Danio rerio: one gene and its partner. The protein of the gene in region 1 interacts with the protein of each later gene in a pairwise test. Links are inferred from orthologs where the notes say so. Each region holds a gene or a part of one and is shown in the gene's direction. Other genes may lie near its edges.

Region 1 (4,271 bases):
CTCCTGTTGTTGTTTGTGTAAATGTGCAGCGGATTAAAATGGAGACTGCCATCTGGGTCTGCACTATAGTCATTTAATGACTTCTGTTGGTGGTGTTAAAGGAATAGCTCATCTCACAAGTAGTTCCAAACCTTTATGAGTTTCTTCTGTTGAGCACTGAAGAAGATATCTTGAAGAATGTTGGAAACCTGTAACCATTGACTTTCCATTGTAGGAAAAGCAAATGGAAGGCAGCGGGTACAGGATTCCAACATTCTTCAAAATATCTTCTTTAATGTTTAACAGAAGAAAGACTTAAAGAGGTCTGGGAAATGGAGGATATGGAGAGTGAATGATCACTGGATCTTCAGTTTCTATATCGGAGTTAAACTGTTCCCTTAAAAATAAACCCTGATGTTATGACGGTTATTAAACTGTACCGGTTTAAAAGGGTTAACTGTGATGTTTTGTAGTATTTGCATGGTATTATATTTGTGTTATTGTGTTTCTCCATCAGATTGGAGGTGAAATAAATACATAATTACACACACTGGCTGTATTACTTTAATTTTTAATGACTGTTTCTATGTAAAGTTATCAATAAATCTTCAAACTCTCCAAGACGGCTCATTCTAACGCTCATGATGGCAGTAGGAGTGTGACATATAGAGATACATCAAATATTCCTATTGCATTAATCCACATTAAGCTCTGTTCTTCATATATGAGTAAAGCTTGTCTGTGTACAATGTGTTTTAACCAACACTATACTGCATTTTGTCTTTATTTTCAAGCATTAAGCCATTATTACAGCAATAACCTGAACAAATAGTATTATTATTGCTAACGCGGTGTATAAGGGAGGAAATCGCCTATATATGCTCAATTAACTGCTTACAGAATTCGCTCTTGATAAAATAATTGGGTATATGTGGAAGTATGCGGGAGGACTTTTAATTTGCCAGTCACCTGGGTCAAGCGCTTCCGCTGAACTGATCAAACTCTGGGCGTTTAAGGTCTGTTTTCTTTAAAAAAATTTAAAAATCTCAGATTGTACAAGAAACACTGCATTACATTACATTTCCCCGCCATGTCTTTATAACACGAGCATTTATTTAACCTCAGTTTATTCAATGGAGCTTCAGCGCTAGCCTGCCGATCCTGACGGGTGCATGCGAGCAAACGGCTTTCTGTCTCGTTTTACGCTTGAGCAACTAAATGAATGCCAAAGTTTATTAAACTGATTATATTTTAATTACATTTAAAACATCAGTGCTGTAAAAGGAGCCGTATAAAATAAAAAAAAGTCACATTAACCGTTCACCGGAAGTTTATCAGTATGGGAGGAAGCACTAGCTCCGCATACCCTATTGTTAGGGCGGCGGATGAATCCTTTCGCGTTTTGTTTTCCCTTTGGTGTGTTTTGACCCTTTCCGCTGTCCGTCACACGTCACTTCGCCCCGCCCATATGAAAGTGAAACGCATGCGCGTTGATGTGCGCAGAGAACCAGCAGGCGCAGATATGGCGGACTTGTCTCTGGATGAAGTGATTCGTCGGCGCAGTTTTACCGCGAGAGGAGCCAGTAAGAGGTACAGCAGCCCGGGCGCTCCGCACAGCAGTTACTGATCACCTGTATTGATCAACACAAGCTCGTTTATTAATGATCGCAGGACGTGTGGAGTCTGTAGAGACTCTGCTTAGCGAGATATCCCGCCTTCACCCTCCGCTGATTGGCTGAAGTGTCGCGCTCGCGCGTCAGCTCGTGTTCTCATTGGCTGACGCGTGTCATTCATGGCGTCCTGCGCGTTGCTGTTTTTTTTTATATACAAACAAACCTCGAACATTACAGTTAATCCGCTCATCATAGTGTATTTGACCATCATAGTGTTACTATCCGCAAACCGAGAGTCTGCTCCACCGCCGCTAATGCTAACCGAGTCTCCCGGTGATTATCGGTGGATCGGCCGACCGACAACATGCGTCATCTGAGGGAGAATAACGACCGGTGAGCTGCAGTCGGTGTGTGTGGAGCAGTGAAGAGTGCTGAACACACCAGCCAGAGCTTACAGAGCTCAGCCTGACCGCGCTTACACCAGTGTGTTATTATTCAAACTGCCCATGAAGACATCACTCAGGCCTGACGGAATATACAGCTAATGTGTTGCAGGAGATGATTAGAGAAATGTTGTCTTTGTTATGGATGTTTAGTACACTTCTCATGCACACTATGAGGAGAGGGAGCCCCCTTAGTTTACTCCTGAGGGGTTAAATGCTGTCGATAAGCACAAGCGCTGTGATGCAGCATGTCCATCATCTGGGCTGTGTTCCACTACACTTTTAGACACACACTCGCGAACTTCCCTACCCTTGTTCCCTCATGGTTAATCACCAACACCTTTTTACAGTGTGTTGCACTTCATCAAGTGAAGGAGGGAAGCTTACATGGACATACCCTCTATTTTGACCGAGTCAGCTTCTAATGTCCCAGAATGCACTGCGATTGTGACGTTTACCAGTGTAGTTCCTAAGTGCTCAAGGGTTTAGGGCACTCCATTCAAACCAAGGGTCTCAAACTCAGCTCCTGGAGGGCCGCAGCTCTGCAGAGTTTAGCTCCAACACCTCCAGCTCTCAGCTGAATCGTCTCCAGTAGTCTCGAACACCTGATGAGCCGTGTTTGATCAGGGTTGGAGCAGAGCTGCGGCTCTCCAGGAGTCCAGTTTGAGACCTGTGGTTTACATCCAGTCAGATGCTCCACCAGTAGTGCACACTTGTGTTTAGGGATGCTCATAATAAGCAATTAACCGTTAACAGAACAGGTGGTTATCTGCTACTCAGTAGGTGCTGCATTTGTATTATAAACGTACGACTCGGCCGTTGGAAAAGTGCGTTCTATACAGTATGAATGTGAGAAGTATGAATGAAATTCGGACGTACTACATCCGCCATTTTGTCATGGTCACATGACCTACCTGGGTCAGTTGCGTCGTTTTACTCCCATTCATGAATTCTCTCGTGGGGCATTATGGGATAGCGCAGCATGCATGGAATGCGCACTTCAGAATCTCGCGGGAAGTAGTAAGTCATCCGGGTACTTCTCGCATACTGATTTTCGAATTCTATGAATTCAGACATACTACTCGGCTCGCATACTGATTTTAGCATACTGTATAGTATGGAAGTATGCGGTTTGTGACGCAGCCGGTGTGTTTGTAAGCGATTAATGGTGTCAGTTAAATGATTTACAGATATTATGTAATGTTTTTAGCGTTTGGCAGTATAAGGGGCCGATTTCAGCGATCGCACGTTTGCGTTGAGAGATGCATCTGTTGAATGGTTTACTAACGGCTGCGAGTGTTTGCGCTGCTTTTGCGCCTTGCGTTATTGTCGTTGCGTACGGAGCACTCGCAGTTGAAAAAAGTAAACTCTTGAGTGGTAAAAGCGTCATGTATTTTCCTATTCTCCAATCAAATGAAACCAGAGGCGGGGTTTTGTGTGTGTAAATGAGTGAGTGTGTATGGGTGTTTCCCTGTACTGGGCTGCAGCTGGATGGGCATCCGCTGTGTAAAACAGATGCTGGATAAGTTGGCGGTTCATTCCACTGTGGTGTCCCCTGATTAATAAAGGGACTAAGCTGAAAAGAAAACGAGTGACTGAGCCTAAACACACATCACTAAACACACAGTGTGTGTGTGAACGTTAGCCTCCAGGTAACGGTTTACTCCTGTTGTCGTCTGTCCACAGGCCTGTATATGGCAGAGGGGCGGGGCCACTGAACATGGCCTTTGATGCCCGGCAGAAGATTGGCAGTGGTGATGTCAGACAGAGGCTGGGAGTGGGTGGAGCCAGCGGGGGGAAACGCCTCCAGATTTCGGCTAGCGGAGCTGCAGTTCAGACTCTGTCGCGGCCGTCAGTGTTTCCGGTGAAGGACGCCAGGGAGAAGCTGGGCCAGAAAGACGCTCGGCTGCGGCTGCGGGGCCGAGGAGGTGGGACCAGTGCTGTGCAGAGCCGAGGGGGAGGGGCCAGTGCGATGCAGGACGCCCGGCTGATGATCAACCTGCGCAAACAGCAGCAGCAGCAGCCGTCCGCCAGCGGCCCCGCCCCAGCCTCCGCCCGGCCCAGCGGCCCCGGGGTCCCACACGTACACATACACAACACCAGCCCTCGCGCACACACACTCACCACCAGAGTGGGTGTGGCCTTACAGCCAGGGGGCGGGATCACAAAAGTTGTTGATGCACGTGATAGGTTGAGCTTGAAGAGGAGTGTCCCTACGACGTCCAATCAGAGCGCA
Region 2 (17,473 bases), on another chromosome or scaffold:
CTGATAAATGTATTTCAGTATAATTTCTTTTAATGCAAAGAAATTTCTTAACAAAAATAATTTTGATCATTTAAAGTTCTTTATGTATCAAATATGAAACAGTAGGCTTTATGGCCCAATGGTCATAGAGGTCAAATAAAAAAGAAAAAAAATTGTTGTCTGCATATAAACTGCAATGCAATACAAGACATGTTCCAAATAATGCTGCAATTTTTGTTGCACTGAATAAAATCAGTAATTTTAGGCTGCAAAAATCCCCAAAATATCCCATAAAGTCTTGGAGAGACTATTTTAGTTATAGCATTGATTTAATACTCATACATAAATATTATATACATTGCCATATACGTGACCATGAACCACAAAACCATATATTTGTTTTTTTGTTTTTTTGCAATTGCAATGTTTGTATCATCTGAAACCTGACTGAATAAGCAAAACATTAATTTATGTTTATATATATATATATATATATATATATATATATATATATATATATATATATATATATATATATACATATATATATATATATATATATATATATATATATATATATATATATATATATATATATATATATATATATATATATTACATTACTTAATCATTATTTAGAGGAAATCTAAGGGTACAAAAAATCTAAATATTTAGAAAATCACCTTTGAAATCTAAAATAAATTCCTAGCTGTTCATATTACTAAACAAAAATTATTTTTTATTATATTTTCAGTGGGAATTTTATTTATTTTACAAAATATTTTCATGGGACATGATCTTTTTTTAACATTCTAATGATTTTTATCATAAAAGAAAAATCTTTTGACCCACCCAATTTGTTTTTTGGCTATTGCCAGAAATATACTCATGCAACATAAGAGATTTGTGGTCCAGTTTAAACATTTGTTTGTGGCAGTGTTCAGTGACCTGTGGTGAAGGGCTGCAGACACGAGAGGTGATCTGTGTCGGGGCCAGAGGAGAGCGACTCTCTGAGCACCACTGCAGTGGACTCACGCGACCACAGGCCACCAAAGCCTGCAAGAGACCGGCCTGCCATCAGGTCTTCAGATACTACACCAACGACTTCAGCCTGGTGAGATGAAGGAGCAGAGGAAGAACCTTAAGGGGGATGTGCACTGTAAAAATTTCCACACAATCGATTTGTGTTGGGACAACATGAAGGAATTAAATTAACTTATTAGTGTTTTAAAATTTAAGTGGATTGAACATGAAACAATTACAGGTGAGGTTTATTTAACTAGGTTAATTAGGTTAAGCCATGGTCAATTGCTCTGTAGACAATCTGAAAAAATATTGGTTAAGGGGGCTAATAATATTGACCTTAAAAAATTGGAAACGGCTTTTATTCTAGCTAAAATAAATAAGACTTATACTTTGATATTGTGTTGTTTCAGCTCATTTTTAAAGAGCTTGGATCAACAAATGTCATTTTTTAAAGTGTAGATTGTTTTTGGATGTCATTGTTGTTGTTGTCTGGTCTCCTTCAGTGCACCCGGAGCTGTGGAACTGGCACCCGTGAGCGTAGAGTGGTGTGCATGGATTTGGATCAGCATCCTTATTCAGATGACAGATGTGCTTCTCTTTCCAGACCTCATGCTGTGGAGAACTGCAACACACAGCCCTGTCCTGGCCCGCAGAGTGAGTTTAACTATATGTGAATGCTTTTGAAAGAAGTGTCTTTTGTGCGCTGAGCTTTCTCTTTTCATACAGTAAAACAGAAGTTTTGTGACATTTCCTTTTTCCCCTCATTGTTCTTTTAAAAAATGTCATTTGTTCTTGTCATTACTCCAGTCTTGAATGTGCAAATTTATTATCATTTTATATTTAATAGTTTTAAAAAAAAAACTGTGGTACTTTACCGAGTATAAATGAAAAGTTAAAAAGACTAACAAGGTTTTTGTCATCCCACACACACATATTTATCTAAATTATTTATTAATTTTCACTTCCCCATTTGCTGCAGTTTCAGTTAAGACAGTAATGATTCGTTTAAATTTCTCTCTTTGGCTCATGGAATCTTCTCTCTATTTTAGTTTTCATTAACAAAATATAATAATATATATAATTTAAAACTATTAAAAATAAAAAGGTTTCAAATAATAAACAGTAGAAAACAGATTGGTTATTAAATAAACTAATATGCAGATGTATTATATTGATGTGTGTGTACATTTATCCAGCTGTATTCTAATGATGGGTACAACAAAAATATATTTTGTTATAAATATAATAAATTAGCATGTTCAGAACTAGATATTTCCCCTATAGGTTATATCCTCATATTTTGGCAGAAATCCTTCTGTGTTATGAAGTACTGATTCTTTCATTGTGTTGCTTTGGTTTAGCGGTGCCCAGTGTGCAGAACCCCAATGGTTACGAGAGCTCCTTGCGTGGATTTGTGTCTTACACTCACGGCCCAGTATCAGGTTAAAAGACTGTGACAAATAAAGCAGTTGTTTAATTATTGTGTCTATCCATAATGTTTGGTCAAACTTTACAGTAAGGTTTCATTAGTTAATGCATTTACTAACTTGAACTAATAATGAACAATACATGAACAGCATTTATTAATCATAGTTTAACATTTACTAATGCATTGTTAAAAATCCAAATTCATGCTTGTTAACTAATGTTAATCAACTATGAATAAATATTATATTAAATATAATGTTCATTGTGCTCCAGTTTCCCCCACAGTCCAAAGACATGCGCTATAGGTGAATTGAATAAACTAAATTGGCTGTGGTGTATAAGTGTGTGTGTGTGTGTGTGTGTGAATGAGTGTGTATTTCCCAGTAATGGGTTGCGGCTGGAAGAGCATCCGCTGTGTAAAACATATGCCGGAATAATTGGTGATTCATTCTGCTGAATGAATGAATGAATATTGTTCATTGTTTCTTCATGGGTGTAGCAGTGGCACAGTAGGTAGTGCTGTTACCTCACAACAAGAAGGTCACTGGTTCGAGCCTTGGCTGGGTCATTGGCGTTTCTGTGTGGAGTTTGCATGTTCTCCCTGCATTCGCGTGGGTTTCCTCCAGGTGTTCCGGTTTCCCCCGCAGTCCAAAAACATGCGGTACAGGTAAATTGGGTAGGCTAAATTGTCTGTGTATGGATGTTTCCCAGAGATGGGTTGCGGCTGGAGGGGCATCCGCTGCGTAAAACATTTGCTGGATAAGTTGGCGGTTCATTCCACTGTGGCGACCCCCGATTAATTTATGCACTAAGCTGAAAAGAAACTGAATGAATGAATGAATGTTTGTTCATGTTAGTAAATGCATTAACCAATATTAACCAATACAACATTATTGTAAAGTGTTAACTATTTATCATATGCATATATTTTGTTGCATTTGCTGATATTTGCACTGTAGTTTACAGACCAAGCGATCCTTATCCCACAGTGACTGGTCCTCATTGCGCTCAGTCTCATTACGGCTGCTGTCCTGATGGCCACACTACAGCCTCTGGGCCTCGTGGAGAAGGCTGTGCTCATGATGACTGCCAGAGATCCAGGTGCCAACATATACATACAAACACATAAAATTTAATACTGACACAAGTCAATTTGTAGATATATAGATAAATAGATTGGAATGCCATAAAATAAATCGTTGAATTACCCTCTATTCTCTTCCAAAAAAAGATGCTTGTATTATTCCAAAAGATTTTTTCCTTCTGTGGAACATAACAGAGCAATTAATTTACATAGTATGGACAAAAATGTTCCATTTGAATTTGTATTTACTTATTGTTTAGGTGAACCATTAATCTTTGCAAATGAATCCACTGAAAAAAAAAGTTTGTTTTTGTAATCTTCAATCAAACTCTGACCATTTGCTTCTGCGTGGTAATCCTTCTCTGTTCAGTCACAATAAATTTAACCATGCCACTCCTACCATTAGTTTGCTATGAGGGAATGATGCACAAAAAGAAAGCCCTGTTCCTTTTAAATATTGTGTTTCAGTTGGAAGTACGTCAACATTCATTTATTTATTTTCCTTCAGATTAGCCCCTTATTTATTAGGGGTCACCACAGCAAAATGAACCGCCAACCATTCCAGCATTTGTCTTACCCATCGGATGGCCTTCCAGCTGTAACCCAGTACAGGGAAAAACCCATACACTCTCACATTCACACATAAACTCATACACTATAGCCAATTTAGTTAATCGAATTAACTTTTCGGTCATGTCTTTGGACTGTGGGGGAGACCGGAACATCGGGAGGAAACCCACTCGAACACATGGAGAACATGCAGAACTAACCAATAATCCACTGTGCTGCTGCATACATCAAAATACTAAAATAAAAGTCTTAGCAACTTCTAGTTTACACTGACTTGGGAACAAAAAGTGTTTGTTGTTAAATGTTGATAAACAAACTATTTTCTTTTTTGAATGGAAGTCAACGACAATCAAAAATAATTGGTTATTAACATTCTTGACTAAACAGATTTGGTTATCATTGACTACCATTTTATGGACCAAAAATTTAAATAAATAAATAAATGTTTATATTTTTTTAACTGTAAACCACAACTGATTGCTTAACATAATTCTTAGCTGAGATCTGTTATATGGAACAAAATCATTGAAACATAAATAATATTCAGTTCAGTCGAATTCATGTTTATTTCTATAGCGCTAATACAATGTAGATTTCCTCAAAGCAGCTTAACATAGAGGTTTAGTAAATTGAAACCCTGTCAGTCCAGTTTTCAGAGTTAAAATACAGTTCAGTTAAGTTCAGTGTGGTTAAATTTCACTGCTGGACGTCCAAACAACTGAAGAGCAAGTCCATTGATGTGCAGCTCCACAAGTCCCAAACCAATCAAGCCAATGGCGAGGAACAAACTCCACCAATTGACAAAAGTGAAGGAAAAAAACCTCGAGAAAAAAAACAGGCTCAGTTGGGCACAACCATTTCTCCTCTGACCAAACTTCTTGTGCAGAGCTGCAGTCTAGGTGTTGGAGGCTGTAGAACAATGTATATTGTGAAAAAGCTGCAGGTATAAATAGGTCACTGGTGGGTGTTCAGGCTGGCCCACGCGATCAATGCAAAGACTCGTCTGTCACTGTGGTCTTTCAGGAATCAGTCTCATGCTCTCCATTCCTCCATGACCACCACAGCATCTGCTCAGGATACGGCCTGGTCCAGGATTATGGATACCTTGGCATCATTTCTTCACAGGTCTTGGATCGCATTAATGGCGCTGCATAATCTCTAGAGACCTTGGGGTCATTATCCCCAGGTGGAAATTGAGAATAAATAAAATAATTAGCGTAGCTGCTGTTCATGCCTAAAATTAAGTGCTATAAATAAAAATAGCAGTTATATAAACAAACATGTAAGGCACATGAGTGTTTCTAACAAAATGTCAGTTGCATTTAGATAAGCAGAGTGTGTTCTAAGGGTAGTTTGTCAAGCACACTCACCTGCGTGGAGCACGCTCATACATCATACCGTTGTGTGATGCACTGTGTGTATGCTTTACTAAAAAGATAGTTATTTAATCTATTTATGAACTGAGAGAGTGTGTCTGAGCCTCAGACATTATCATTAAAATAGAATCAGAGGAAACAAAATATGTTCAATAATTCTGACCAAACAATTTGGTTTAAGACAAACAGTGGTGTAAAGTAACAAATTGCAAATACTCAGATTACTGAAATGAAGTAGTTTTTCTAATGAATTTTCATTTACTAAGTTACTTTACTTTCCCTTAAGTAAATGTTTAGTGCAGCATTGGTACTTTTACTCTACTACTTTCCCTCAATCTGCAGTCACTACTTTTAATTATTTCCTGTCAGTGGATTAGAAAAATCAGTCCTGCACTGCGATTCCTGTCTAATCATATCACACATAGAAAGTAAATCGCATCATACTGATCTACCTTAAGTCTTCCAGCAAACTGGAAGCAGTAAGTGTCCAAGAAGACATACAATGACCCAGAGACTGTTTAGACTGAATGTCAATGAGAAAAAGACAGATGTTTCCTGTATGATAACCGAAATGGCCTTAAACTTCAACTAAATGCACTACAGAATGTTACGTTTACACACACACACACACACACACACACACACACACACACACACACACACACACACACACACACACACACACACACACACACACACACACACACACACACACACACACATTCACAAATTACATGTAAGTGCTTCAAACTTTCCCAGCGTTATACTCACTACTTACTACTCTTGAGTACTTTCGAAAGGGCTACTGTTTACTCATACTTTAATACTTAAAACAGGTACTTTAACTCTACTTGCATTACATTTTTGGGTAAGTAGTTGTACTTTTACTTTAGAATGATTATTCAGAACGGTTTCCATCACTAAAGAAAAGGTTTAAGCAAAAAACGGAAACCAAAACTGAAAAATATCCTTTAAAATAGTTTGCATTATGTTCCACAGAAGAAAGAAAGTCATACAGTTATAGGGAGTATATAGATGACATATGGGTGACTAAGTGATATAATTAAATAAAACAGTAGTGAACAGCAATGAACTGGATTTTTATTAAGGCCAGATTTGGATATATTCAGGATCAAACCAGTGAACTGAACGTGTGTGTGTGTGTGTGTGATGAAAGATACGGCTGCTGTCTGGATGGAATAACAGCTGCTCTGGGTTACAGAAGAGCGGGATGTCCTGACTCCTCCTATGGGGTAAAACAGCTCATTTAATTTTCCCTGTCAGTTTTCCTCTCATCATATAATTTCATCTAATTATATAAACACGTCTTTGCTTTTGTTTTCAGGATCACAGTCCCTCTGCTAGTGTGTGCTCCTTGGCACGAGATGTCGGGCCCTGTTATGAATATAAATCTCGCTTCTACTTTGATCATTCCTCTGGCTCTTGCTCCCAGTTCTGGTTTGGTGGATGCCAAGGAAATGGCAATAACTTTGTCTCCAAGGTGGCGTGCGAGCGGACGTGTAAGGCTTCTGTCAGAGGAAGAGAACCAACGTCCAGGAGAGTGATCTACGATGTCAGAGGTTATAGAGTGAGATCCCGTGCATAATAAATGTCCAGACAAATCCAACTCATAAACATGTAGATAAAACTTCAATTGTGCTGATTTGAAAGCAGTCTTGGGTTTATACTGACATCTACTGGCATTGATTTGTTTAAACTAAGCTTTTTTAAGGGATGAGAGAGAAACACTTTATCAAACATGACTGCATCAAAGCTAAAGATAATTTCCTTTCTTTTTATGTTTCGGTGTAAGTACTTTGGTTGTATACTCTTCCTAAGCCATTAAAGTGTTAACACAAACCAACTGCACTGAAGAATTAACTTGAATATATCTAATCTTGCATGTAGATGAATGGATGGATGGATGGATGGATGGGTGGGTGTAGATAGATAGATAGATAGATAGATAGATAGATAGATAGATAGATAGATAGATAGATAGATAGATAGATAGATAGATAGATAGATAGATAGATAGATAGATAGATAGATAGATAGATAGATTATATATTATTATTATATTTGTTATTATTACATTTAATAAAATTATTAAATAGTTTCAAATATTTATATTTATTCAAATATTAAGTGACGTTTAATGAAGAGGCGATCATCTTCCAACATGCTTTAAAACTTTTGTCTTTGTATGTGCTGACAGAATCTTTTAGTTATTTTGAAAGATGCTTTTATACTTTGCAAAGGTGCAGTATGTAAATTTATTGAGCTGTATTACATTCCTGGATCAAAACAAACGCATGCGCAGGTTATTAGAGTGACGACCAATACAGGCGAGTCTGACTGTCTAGCCTAAAGGCTGATTTAAACTGCGTTCTATACAAAAGCTACGTAATAGAAGGATAGAAGGAATATTATTCATTTATTTTGTCCTAACAAACTCCTTCAATTGATAAATTAGAAACAGTTTCTATATCTTGCAGCTGAACAACAGAAAACTTTGACAATGGTCACCTCATGTGCTTTATTCAGTGTTAAATGTTAACAATGTGAGTTTGGATGGCATTTTACATGACATCTATTGCCATATACTGAAAGCAGCAGCAGATAGTTCACCTCAGATATTGAAAATAAAATAAACTGATTGAACTTTAGAATTGTGACTCAGTGCAAGACAACACAAATGAGTGATTCAGCATCTACATTTAATAATGTCAAAGAGGTTTAATATGTATTAAATAGATTTTTTAAAACTTACCTTTTCATGAGTGAGTACATATTCTGTGCCTCTAAATGTCTTTATTTAAATTTCTTTCATGTTTCTTCTGGTGCAAACAGCTAAATTGCTAATAACTACTAATCTTGTCATGTAGCATGTTGTTAGGGCATGCGGTTACAATGTAACCTGCTCACCTAATGTTTACACTCGTAATATTTATATTATTTGCAAATTAATAACCTCATGTGGAACTGAATCTGCGTCTCATTCCAGAGTCTGCTACTTTCTCACGGAGGTAGCGTTGTGGTCATGGAACCATGCTTTGAGAGCCTTTCTGAATGAATGAATGAGTTACTGAATGAATGAATGAATGAATGAATGAATGAATGAATGAATGAATGAATTGCTCCGTTTTTCACCAAGGCAACCCGGGGTGCTAAAATATAATCTAAAGTTGCAATAGGTGGGTTAAAATAACCAAAACAGAGACAGACGTTCCGGCACATAACTTACATTTACAAAGCAGAATATCTGACTTTAACATTGTTTTTCAGATAAACAAGAATGTTCATGTGGCATGTTTACTAAACATCTGCAAACATATTATAGTATTTTTATGCTTTAGAAGAGTCAAAACATACAGTACTTTTAAACTACGATTTAAAGGCTTATCAAAAGTTATTTATTAGTTTTACATTCGACAAGTTATCAAGACAAGCAATCAATCAAAAACAAAATGCTAATAATTCACATCTATATCACAAGTAAGCTAATAATACTGACCCTAAAATTATTATTATTTTTTTATTATTAAATTAAAAATATATATAAATTAGGTACAAATGTGTGACAATAAGAATTTATAATTTTGTAAACCATTGTTACAGATATAACATTTTGATGATAAAAACTATACTATGTATTTGTGATGTAGGTTAAAATTACAGGATAAATAAAATAAAATCATTAAATTATAAAAATTTAAATATAGAAATATTTGTAAATAATATTGTAAAGCCTATTTCTAATATTTAATTTTTATTTATGTGTGTGTGTGTGTGTGTGTGTGTGTGTGTGTGTGTGTGTGTGTGTGTGTGTGTGTGTGTGTGTGTGTGTGTGTGTGTACGTGTGTGTGTACAAAATTTAAACAAATATTTGTAAACAGTATTGCAAAGTCTTATATACATCGTTTATCCATAAATAATAGTAAATAGGCTGACTTCTTTTTCACTTGCAGTCATTTGAATATTACATCAAAATAATGAATACAAAATATGAAGTAAAAATTATAAGTAATGTCATTAACGACAAAAATAAATACCATTTCCGTAACAGTGAAAAAGCTTTTATCTTGAAAAGCCAACGCTTCGCCTACACCGGAAGTGTGATCGTTTCTTGAACATTCCTGCTGTTTCCTTCGCTGCTAACAGTGAATAGCCGTCAGTGGTTACCCCAGCGTTCAACGCCACTTTTATACATCAGGACCAGATATGGTAAGTATTTTGTCGATGTTTTTTCTACTCGTATATATCCTTAGACAGCCACCATATCAGAAAAATCGCGTTTCACCGACTGCTCCAACACATTCAACAAAAATAAAAGTGAACGAACGCGCGCGGCTAGCAGTGTGTTACGAGAGAACGTCGAATAATCCTCAACACAGCGAGCTTTCATGTGTCTCGAAATACCACACATGCAAAGTTAGGTTCTTTGTTGAAAGTTCGACCGGAACAAACTCCTGTTCAGCTTCAGTATTGGTAATATCAGTGTTTGTGAGGAACATGTAGTGTTTTAGTTTGGGGGAGGGTTCGAGTACAACAGCTGCTGTTTTCTGGGTATTGTGTCAAAGCATCCATATCAGCTAACGTTATATTCCCAAAGTGTATTTAGTTCATACGTCAAACATGAATAACTAAACAACACGTCATGTTTTTGAAATGAACGCACGATTAATCTCACTGTCAGGAGCCAAAGCTGTGTTCCTGTCAGTAGGGGGCTCCACGCAATTGTTTAATTCGTCGTCTAGATATGTAGTGTTTCTAACTTTTACTTGATTTATGATATAAACACAATAAAATGTTTTTTTCTTTATTATCGTTCAGTCTCACACAATTCTGCTGGTGCAGCCCACCAAGAGACCAGAAGGCAGAACATATGCAGATTATGAGTCTGTCAACGAATGTATGGAAGGTAGGATAATTCTTTTCTTTGTGTGTGTTATAAACAATTATAATGCTTTAAAGGGATAGTTCACCCAAAAATTGAACTATTGACCATAGTAGAAAAAACAAAAACTATGGAAGTCAGTGGCTTTAGGATTTCACCTCTCTTTAAAATGTCTTCAGAAAGTAAGAAACTCAAACTGGTTTTGTAACTGTGAAGAGAAAACAAATTTTTTTTGGGGTGAACTATCTTTATTGTACACTGAATATTGCACTACTACTTTTAATGCGTGTTTAACCATTTTCCTTCTTACCAAAAGGAGTGTGTAAGATGTATGAAGAGCATCTGAAGAGAATGAATCCCAACAGTCCCTCCATCACATATGACATAAGCCAGTTATTCGACTTTGTTGATGATCTTGCCGATCTCAGCTGTCTTGTGTAAGTAATCACACTTTTCACTTGACAAAGCCTAATGTCTAAGGTCCCGATTACACTAAAAAGTTTTAGTTTTAAAACGCATAAGTTTTGCTACAGTGACGTCTTCCGTTCAGATTACCCCAGAGTTTTAGATCATTGAAAGCGGAGTGTTTTGGAAATGCTGAAGAGGTCGCTTTTGTGTTAACCCTTTAACTGTCTGCTCTATCAAATGGTTGACCATATTTTGATTGTTTTAAATTAAGGTTTACACAAACAGCATTGTTGCTTTACAAAAAATCTAACAAACATAATCCTCTTGCACTACTACACTTAGTTTTGATTTTATTGTAAAAAGCAAAAAAAAGAAATCTTGAATTATTTAATAATAAGAAATATTGTATGGCATACTTAAAAAAATAAAGATGATTCAGTATTTAAAATGTTTTATTTAAATTGTTTTAAAATGAGTCATATTGTTATAAATTAGTCTTACACTTCATGTTTTTAGAATTTTTATAGTATGTGTATTGATTCTTAGTACTTTTACCATAAACCAACATATTATCCACTTGGTAGCGGTTGATATTTTTAAAATTATGGGATGTGATGGGGAAAAAATGCATCGAGTGTGTTAACTTTAGAATTTAAGAAATGCAATCCCAAGAAAAAGTTCTTGGTGGGGAAGTTAAAGTGTTAAAATACTGCTGAAAAATAGAGGCTCAAAACGGATCGGATTCAGGCCTTTTCCCAATATTAAATGCAATATTAAGTTCAGTCTTGCATCCTTTCCTTGAAAGTTCAGACTTTGCAAGTTTTATATGGAAAACTACCTCCTGAGGACACGTCGGGTAAATTTTCAATGGGAACAGTGTACTTTATAACAATCACAGCGTTCATATAGTCATTCATGTCACTCTGACTACGCTGCTTCACTATCTTAAAAAATCAATGAAAACATGATATAAGGATTTAAATAGACACCAAAAATGTTCAGGCATCGTATAGCTACATACTTGTATTACTGTCATCTTCACAGTATGCATATTTATAAGAAAACGGAGCCTGTAGACCCATAGGTTTCCAACCTTTTTTGCCTGAGACCCCCTTTTCTGCTGGAAAATATAGTGAGGCCATCCTCAACATTTAATGATATTATCGCTCATATAAGTTTGCAGTAAGGATGACAAAAAATGTTGCTTTCAAAAAGACTGTATGACTGTATCTCAAAAAGACTGTACTATTATCTCTCCTCCTTGGCGAAATTCTAGGCAAATGGCCAGTGTGGATGTGGATAGTTTTTGTTGTTAATTGCCGTTTTAAAACTAAAACATATCGGTGTAAACAGGGCCTATTAAATGCTCATGCTCGTCAATCATGTACAATTGTCTTTAATTATTTGAACAGGTACAGAGCGGACACACAAACCTACCAGCCTTACAACAAAGACTGGATCAAAGAAAAGATCTATGTGCTGTTGAGGCGTCAGGCCCAACAGGCTGGAAAATAAAGACGGTGGAATTATTGAACTAGTCCCCAACTACGCTTCATCACAGGACAGACGTGGCTGAACTGAACAGTGAATTGATGCCAACTGGTTCAGATTTTGTTGAATGCATGTCCTTTGAGTTATGTCAAAAGCATAGAGTGAAAATATTTTGCATTTTAAATCACATTTTTGTAACTTCGGAGTTCGGGACTTGGGTTATTTATCGGGCTAGAGGGTAATATTGGGGAAAGAAAAGTTTTAGGATTTTTTTCGTTGTTGTTGCTCCCGATCCCTCCCAATTAATGATGTTTTATATTGTGGATTTATTTTTGATTTAGTAAAGTATAACATTTACACATTTCAGATGTTGTTGAGATGGTTCCGAGTTATTCTTATATCCCAACTTTTGTCCTCTGTGTTGTTAAAGGTTTTGTTGGCCCTCTCTGATTTGTGCATCCAGTAGTAAAAACTGGCAAACAATAAAATTCTTCTCAAAAAACGTGGAAATGTCAGTGCTTTTTTCTTTTTTTCTTAGCCTAAAGAGCCCATATTATGGGTTTTTGAAAATTCCCCTCCATGTAGTGTGTAACACAGCTCTAAGTGAAGTGGAGTATCCAGCTAAGGCTTAAATCTGTTAGTGTACAGTGTTAAAAACGGTTGATTCATCTAAAAAAGAGTCGACTCATAGTGCTTCAAACGAGTCGCCTTGATACGGATTCATTAGGTGTTTCGCCATGACGTACGAACGAAACCAAGTTATTCACGTGCACGCGCAAACCCGGGAGATTTCAAACCTGAGGCCCCGCCCTCTGACGCAGAAACCGAGACACACACACACACACACACACACACCCACAAACACACACACACACAAACATGCCGGTCGATTGAAGTCACACTGCAGATGGATATATTGAGTCTCTACCCAAAGATGAAACCTCAGCATTATAGCCAAGCAGTTGGAAACTACTGGAAACTTCTGGAAGCTACATGCTACAAAGAATACTTCATCAGCGTTTGTTAAAGGAAGGATCAGTAACTTACTGATAGACGTCAGGATGGGTTTCTTCCTCCATTTCTCAAGTGTAAGTACGTGCGATTAAAGTTGCCTCGTTGACTCTAGCTTGCAAATGTATTTAGTTGTGATTTGTTACTTGTAACCGCGTGTACTGTATGAGGTTAACTGGCTATATTCTCTTATAGTGTGCAAAGTCACGTTAAAAACGCGACGCGTGCTGCGTTAACGGAGCTCCGTGGACGGGGAGTAACGTTAGTGTGTGTGTCTGTGTGTGCGTGCGCGCGCTGTCGTCCGGAGGTGTGTGTGTTTGTGTGTGTGTTTGTGTGTGTGCGTGTGTGTGTGTGTGCGCGCGCGTTGTCGTCCGGAGCAGGGTTAAGTGTGAGTGTGTGTGTGTGTGTGTGTGTGTGTGTGTGTGTGTGTGTGTGTGTGTGTGTGTGTGTCTGTGAAAAGAGCAGAGTGAGAAGCTAGGAGATCTCCTCAACTGTTTTTGGAGTTTTTGTTCAATAAAATAGTCAGTCGTCTGTATTTTCAAGTCCATAGTCTGTATTTACATTGACCCACTGGCAGCTAAAATCAACGCCTACACTATCTAGCGTGTATGAACTGTGATTACTTTTATATTGCTGATTAGCTGTTTGGCATTTCATTCTCTGACTGAAGGCAGTCGACCAATCGCAACAGACTGTCATCGGTCCAATCAGCGCAGATTAGCTTCGCGCTAAGGAGGGGTTTGGGAACAAATGAATCCCTGAACGATTCATACAGGAGTCGCTGGGATAATTAGGTAAAAATAAATGCAGATTATAAGACCATGAAAGTGTTTTTTGACCTTGCATGCATATTAAACTGTTGTTGGAGACCCTTACAACCAAGATATGACCCTATTTCATGTATAATATGGGCTCTTTAAGAATCATAAGGTTAGAGACAGAAATAATTTTCAGCAGTGGCACATAGAATTGGTGTAGTTTTTATAATGTTTAAAAAGATTATTATTATTTTTTTAAATGCTGTTCTTTTTAACTTAACCAAAAATATATATGTAGAGTTCTGAAGGTTCATGTGACACTGAAGACACTTCAAACATCTGCAACAGCGTTATACACCGTCTACCAGTGTTTCTCAACCACATTTCTGGAGGACCACCAGCTCTGTACATTTTACATGCCTCCTTAACCAAACACACCAGATTCAGATCATCAGCCCATTAGAAGAGACTGACAGAAATGTAGTGTGTGACAGAAAGTATGCATTCAAAACATGCAGTGTTGGTGGTCTTCTGGGAACGTTGTTGAGAAACACTGCTGTATACAACTGCCTTTGAATCAAATTCTTGTCTGTATCCTACATTTACCTTAATTATTTCTTTAACAACAAATGGCATTAAGGATTTCAGAGCTCATGGTCATTTGCATGTTTTAATAGGAAGTGTATGTGACATATAATGTATTTTGCATTTTTATATGTGCCAGTTGAAATGTTGTCAGTGTCTTTTCTCTTTAGTCATTTGAAAATGTAAATACATCAGTTATATATTTTTTTAAACAACCATGCCAAATTATGATAATAAACATATTTAAATTCTAAATACATACAGTTGATGTCATAATAATTAGCGTCCCTTTAATTTTTATCTTTTTTATATATTTCACAAATTGTTTAACAGAGCAAGGAAATTTGTACAGTATGTCTGATAATATTTTTTCTGATGAAAGTCTTATTTGATTTGTATTTTGGCTAGAGTAATTTTTTTTTTTCTACTAGCCCCTTTAAGCTATATTTTTCGATAGTCTACAGAACTTGCCTAAATACCCTAACCTGCCTAGTTAAAGTTAAGCCTTTAAATGTCACTTTAAGCTGTATAGAAGTGTCTTGAAAAACATCTAGTCAAATATCATGTACTGTCATCATGGCAAAGATAAAATAAATCAGTGATTAGAAATGTGTTGGAAAAAAATCTCTCCGTTAAACAGAAATAATAAACAGGGGGCTAATAATTCTGACTTCAACTGTATATGCAAATGTTCACCCACAATTGTACAGCTACTCCATCATAAACCTCGATGAATAATTAATACATGCACATATTCACAAGAATCCATTCAAGCATCTGCATATATACATAGAAAGAAAGGATAAAGAAAATATGAACACCAATACATACCCAATTATGAAAATGTGTATTTTGCATGCATTGCTATGCTTCATGAAATCTTCACACCATTCACTTGTCATCGGTCAGTCTCCAGATCAGTTCATATCTTAATGTAGATCTCCTTTATTATGCAATGTTTGTTTATAAGAAGCTGATGTGTTCTAATTGGGAGATAAATGTAGAATTATACATCACATCAGGACCATCCTGTTTATCAACTGCCAGAAGCACAATGTACTGTACTCTAGCATGAAAGTCTTGCTTTTCAGCTACAGGGCTAATTGTTTAAATAAGAACTTGCTATTCTCAGAAATACTCATACAAAAAGTTTTTTGATGTCTGTGAAACCTATAGTGTTGTGGAAAAGACACTCGCTTTATTTTAATTTAAGAAACATTTGCCCTGTTTAAGGAATAGCTCATCACAAATGATAGTTCTGCCATAATTTACCCGTACTCCAGAGTTTCACAAATGAATGTGTCCTGAAGAACACTGGAAAGCAGTTGAGACTTCTTCTGAGTCTGTTGCTCACTTATTTTGAGAATGTCCATTTGTTAAATCTTTCTGGTCTGTTGTGAATAATCCACATCAAAAGGTTTATGGTTGTTTTTCTTTAAGCTATGGACATTATTTTGGGATTTTACATTAAAGAAAAACAATTCCTTAAAGTTTTTGTGTAAACCTAATCATTATTATTATTTGGCAAGTTTTTTTTATACTTACATGTGCTAAAAGTAAACCAATTTTTGTATTTTTAAAAACAGAATAAATACTATTTCAGATCCTCATAACAAGAAAGCTTCTAAAATGTGCTTTATTTAATATTATACATTTATTTTTGTTGTGTTTTTTTCATGTGCCCTCTCCTTTTTATTAATTTATTATTTTATTTTTTCTTTCTCTTTGACATACCATTGTAATACTTTATAATTGGTCATTCTCTGTTTGTGTTAAAAGTAATATTTGCATTGTATGTATTGTTCATTTCATTGTAATTTCCGGTTATTGCAATAAAAAAAAAAAAAACGTTTGGAAGCAACAACCATTGACTTTCATAGTATATTTTTAATATGGATATCAATGTCTGCTGGTTTCCAACTTTCCATATAACATCTTGTTTTGTGTTAAAATGAAGAAATTAAAGGACCATGTGAGTAAATTTTCATTTTGTCTAAAATACTGTATTAAGCATTGTTGTTTAATTGGCAAACAACTAGTTGCAGTAGCTTTTAGACTGGCATGCTTTATTCTGTTGTTTTTGCTACATGATCCGTGAGCTTGCATTGTTCTTGGAAAGTACCTAAGTTACGTTTAACGAACTGCAAGCAGTCTTATGGCAGCTGTAACTAAGGATTGGACTGAACCACTTTAATCATTGGACACAATAATTCTTGTTGTAAATAAATGTAAGAATAAAATGCAATTCTTATTTTGTAACATTTATGATTTACCCCAATCTAGCATAAATGTTACATTTAGTAGACTTCTTAATTCTACTTTTTATATTGGGGAAATGTCACAAAACTCTTTTTTTCCCTTCTTTTTCTTGGAAGTTGATTCAGTTTTTACTGAGATATTTTGAGAAAACTACTTTTATGAAGTGACTTGTCTGTTTGAATCTTCAACAAGACTCCTGGACCCCAATACTTAGAAAAAATAAATCAAGGTCAACTGGGTGAAAGCAATTAATATCGAAATGTACAAATTAAATAGTATGTTAGCTAACAATTCAAATATGGTTGAATATCTAGAATTGGTTCTGTCCTTCAGCTGTTGACTAAATGATTGCAATTATAAATGTGAGTTACAGTTGATTGTAATAAACAATTGTGAATGCAAACACAGTTTTCTTTGCATTTTTGACATCAAAACCATCTTGTTGATGAAGACTAATGTGTTAAACATGCCAGGTGATCATGCCAGGCCGGTAGATGGTGGTTTCACTTTAAGCTCAAGTTGATTTAAGTACTTGCTTATGCATATCCGAGTTTAAATGAAAATATAAATATATACAGTTGATGACAGAATTATTAGC

Evidence for each region.
Region 2: the proteins of poldip3 (region 1) and erh interact in a two-hybrid assay, tested with the Homo sapiens proteins (2 studies listed by BioGRID, with this or other methods). The link is inferred for Danio rerio from reciprocal best matches to the Homo sapiens genes POLDIP3 and ERH.

The regions. Positions count from the first base shown.
Region 1 is NC_133178.1:310,100-314,370, reverse strand, and holds the start of poldip3 (polymerase delta-interacting protein 3), read left to right. Parts: upstream 1-1,471; 5' UTR 1,472-1,501; coding exon 1,502-1,569; exon of another isoform or gene 1,570-1,956; coding exon of another isoform or gene 1,957-1,985; intron 1,986-3,721; coding exon 3,722-4,271. UniProt on the Homo sapiens protein: Is involved in regulation of translation. Is preferentially associated with CBC-bound spliced mRNA-protein complexes during the pioneer round of mRNA translation. Contributes to enhanced translational efficiency of spliced over nonspliced mRNAs.
Region 2 is NC_133195.1:36,356,594-36,374,066, reverse strand, and holds erh (enhancer of rudimentary homolog), read left to right. Parts: upstream 1-9,556; 5' UTR 9,557-9,687; coding exon 9,688-9,690; intron 9,691-10,299; coding exon 10,300-10,387; intron 10,388-10,679; coding exon 10,680-10,800; intron 10,801-12,183; coding exon 12,184-12,286; 3' UTR 12,287-12,772; downstream 12,773-17,473. Other genes in the region: paplnb (papilin b, proteoglycan-like sulfated glycoprotein), read left to right, coding at 917-1,093, 1,509-1,659, 2,367-2,447, 3,393-3,534, 6,641-6,716, 6,809-7,069. UniProt on the Homo sapiens protein: May have a role in the cell cycle.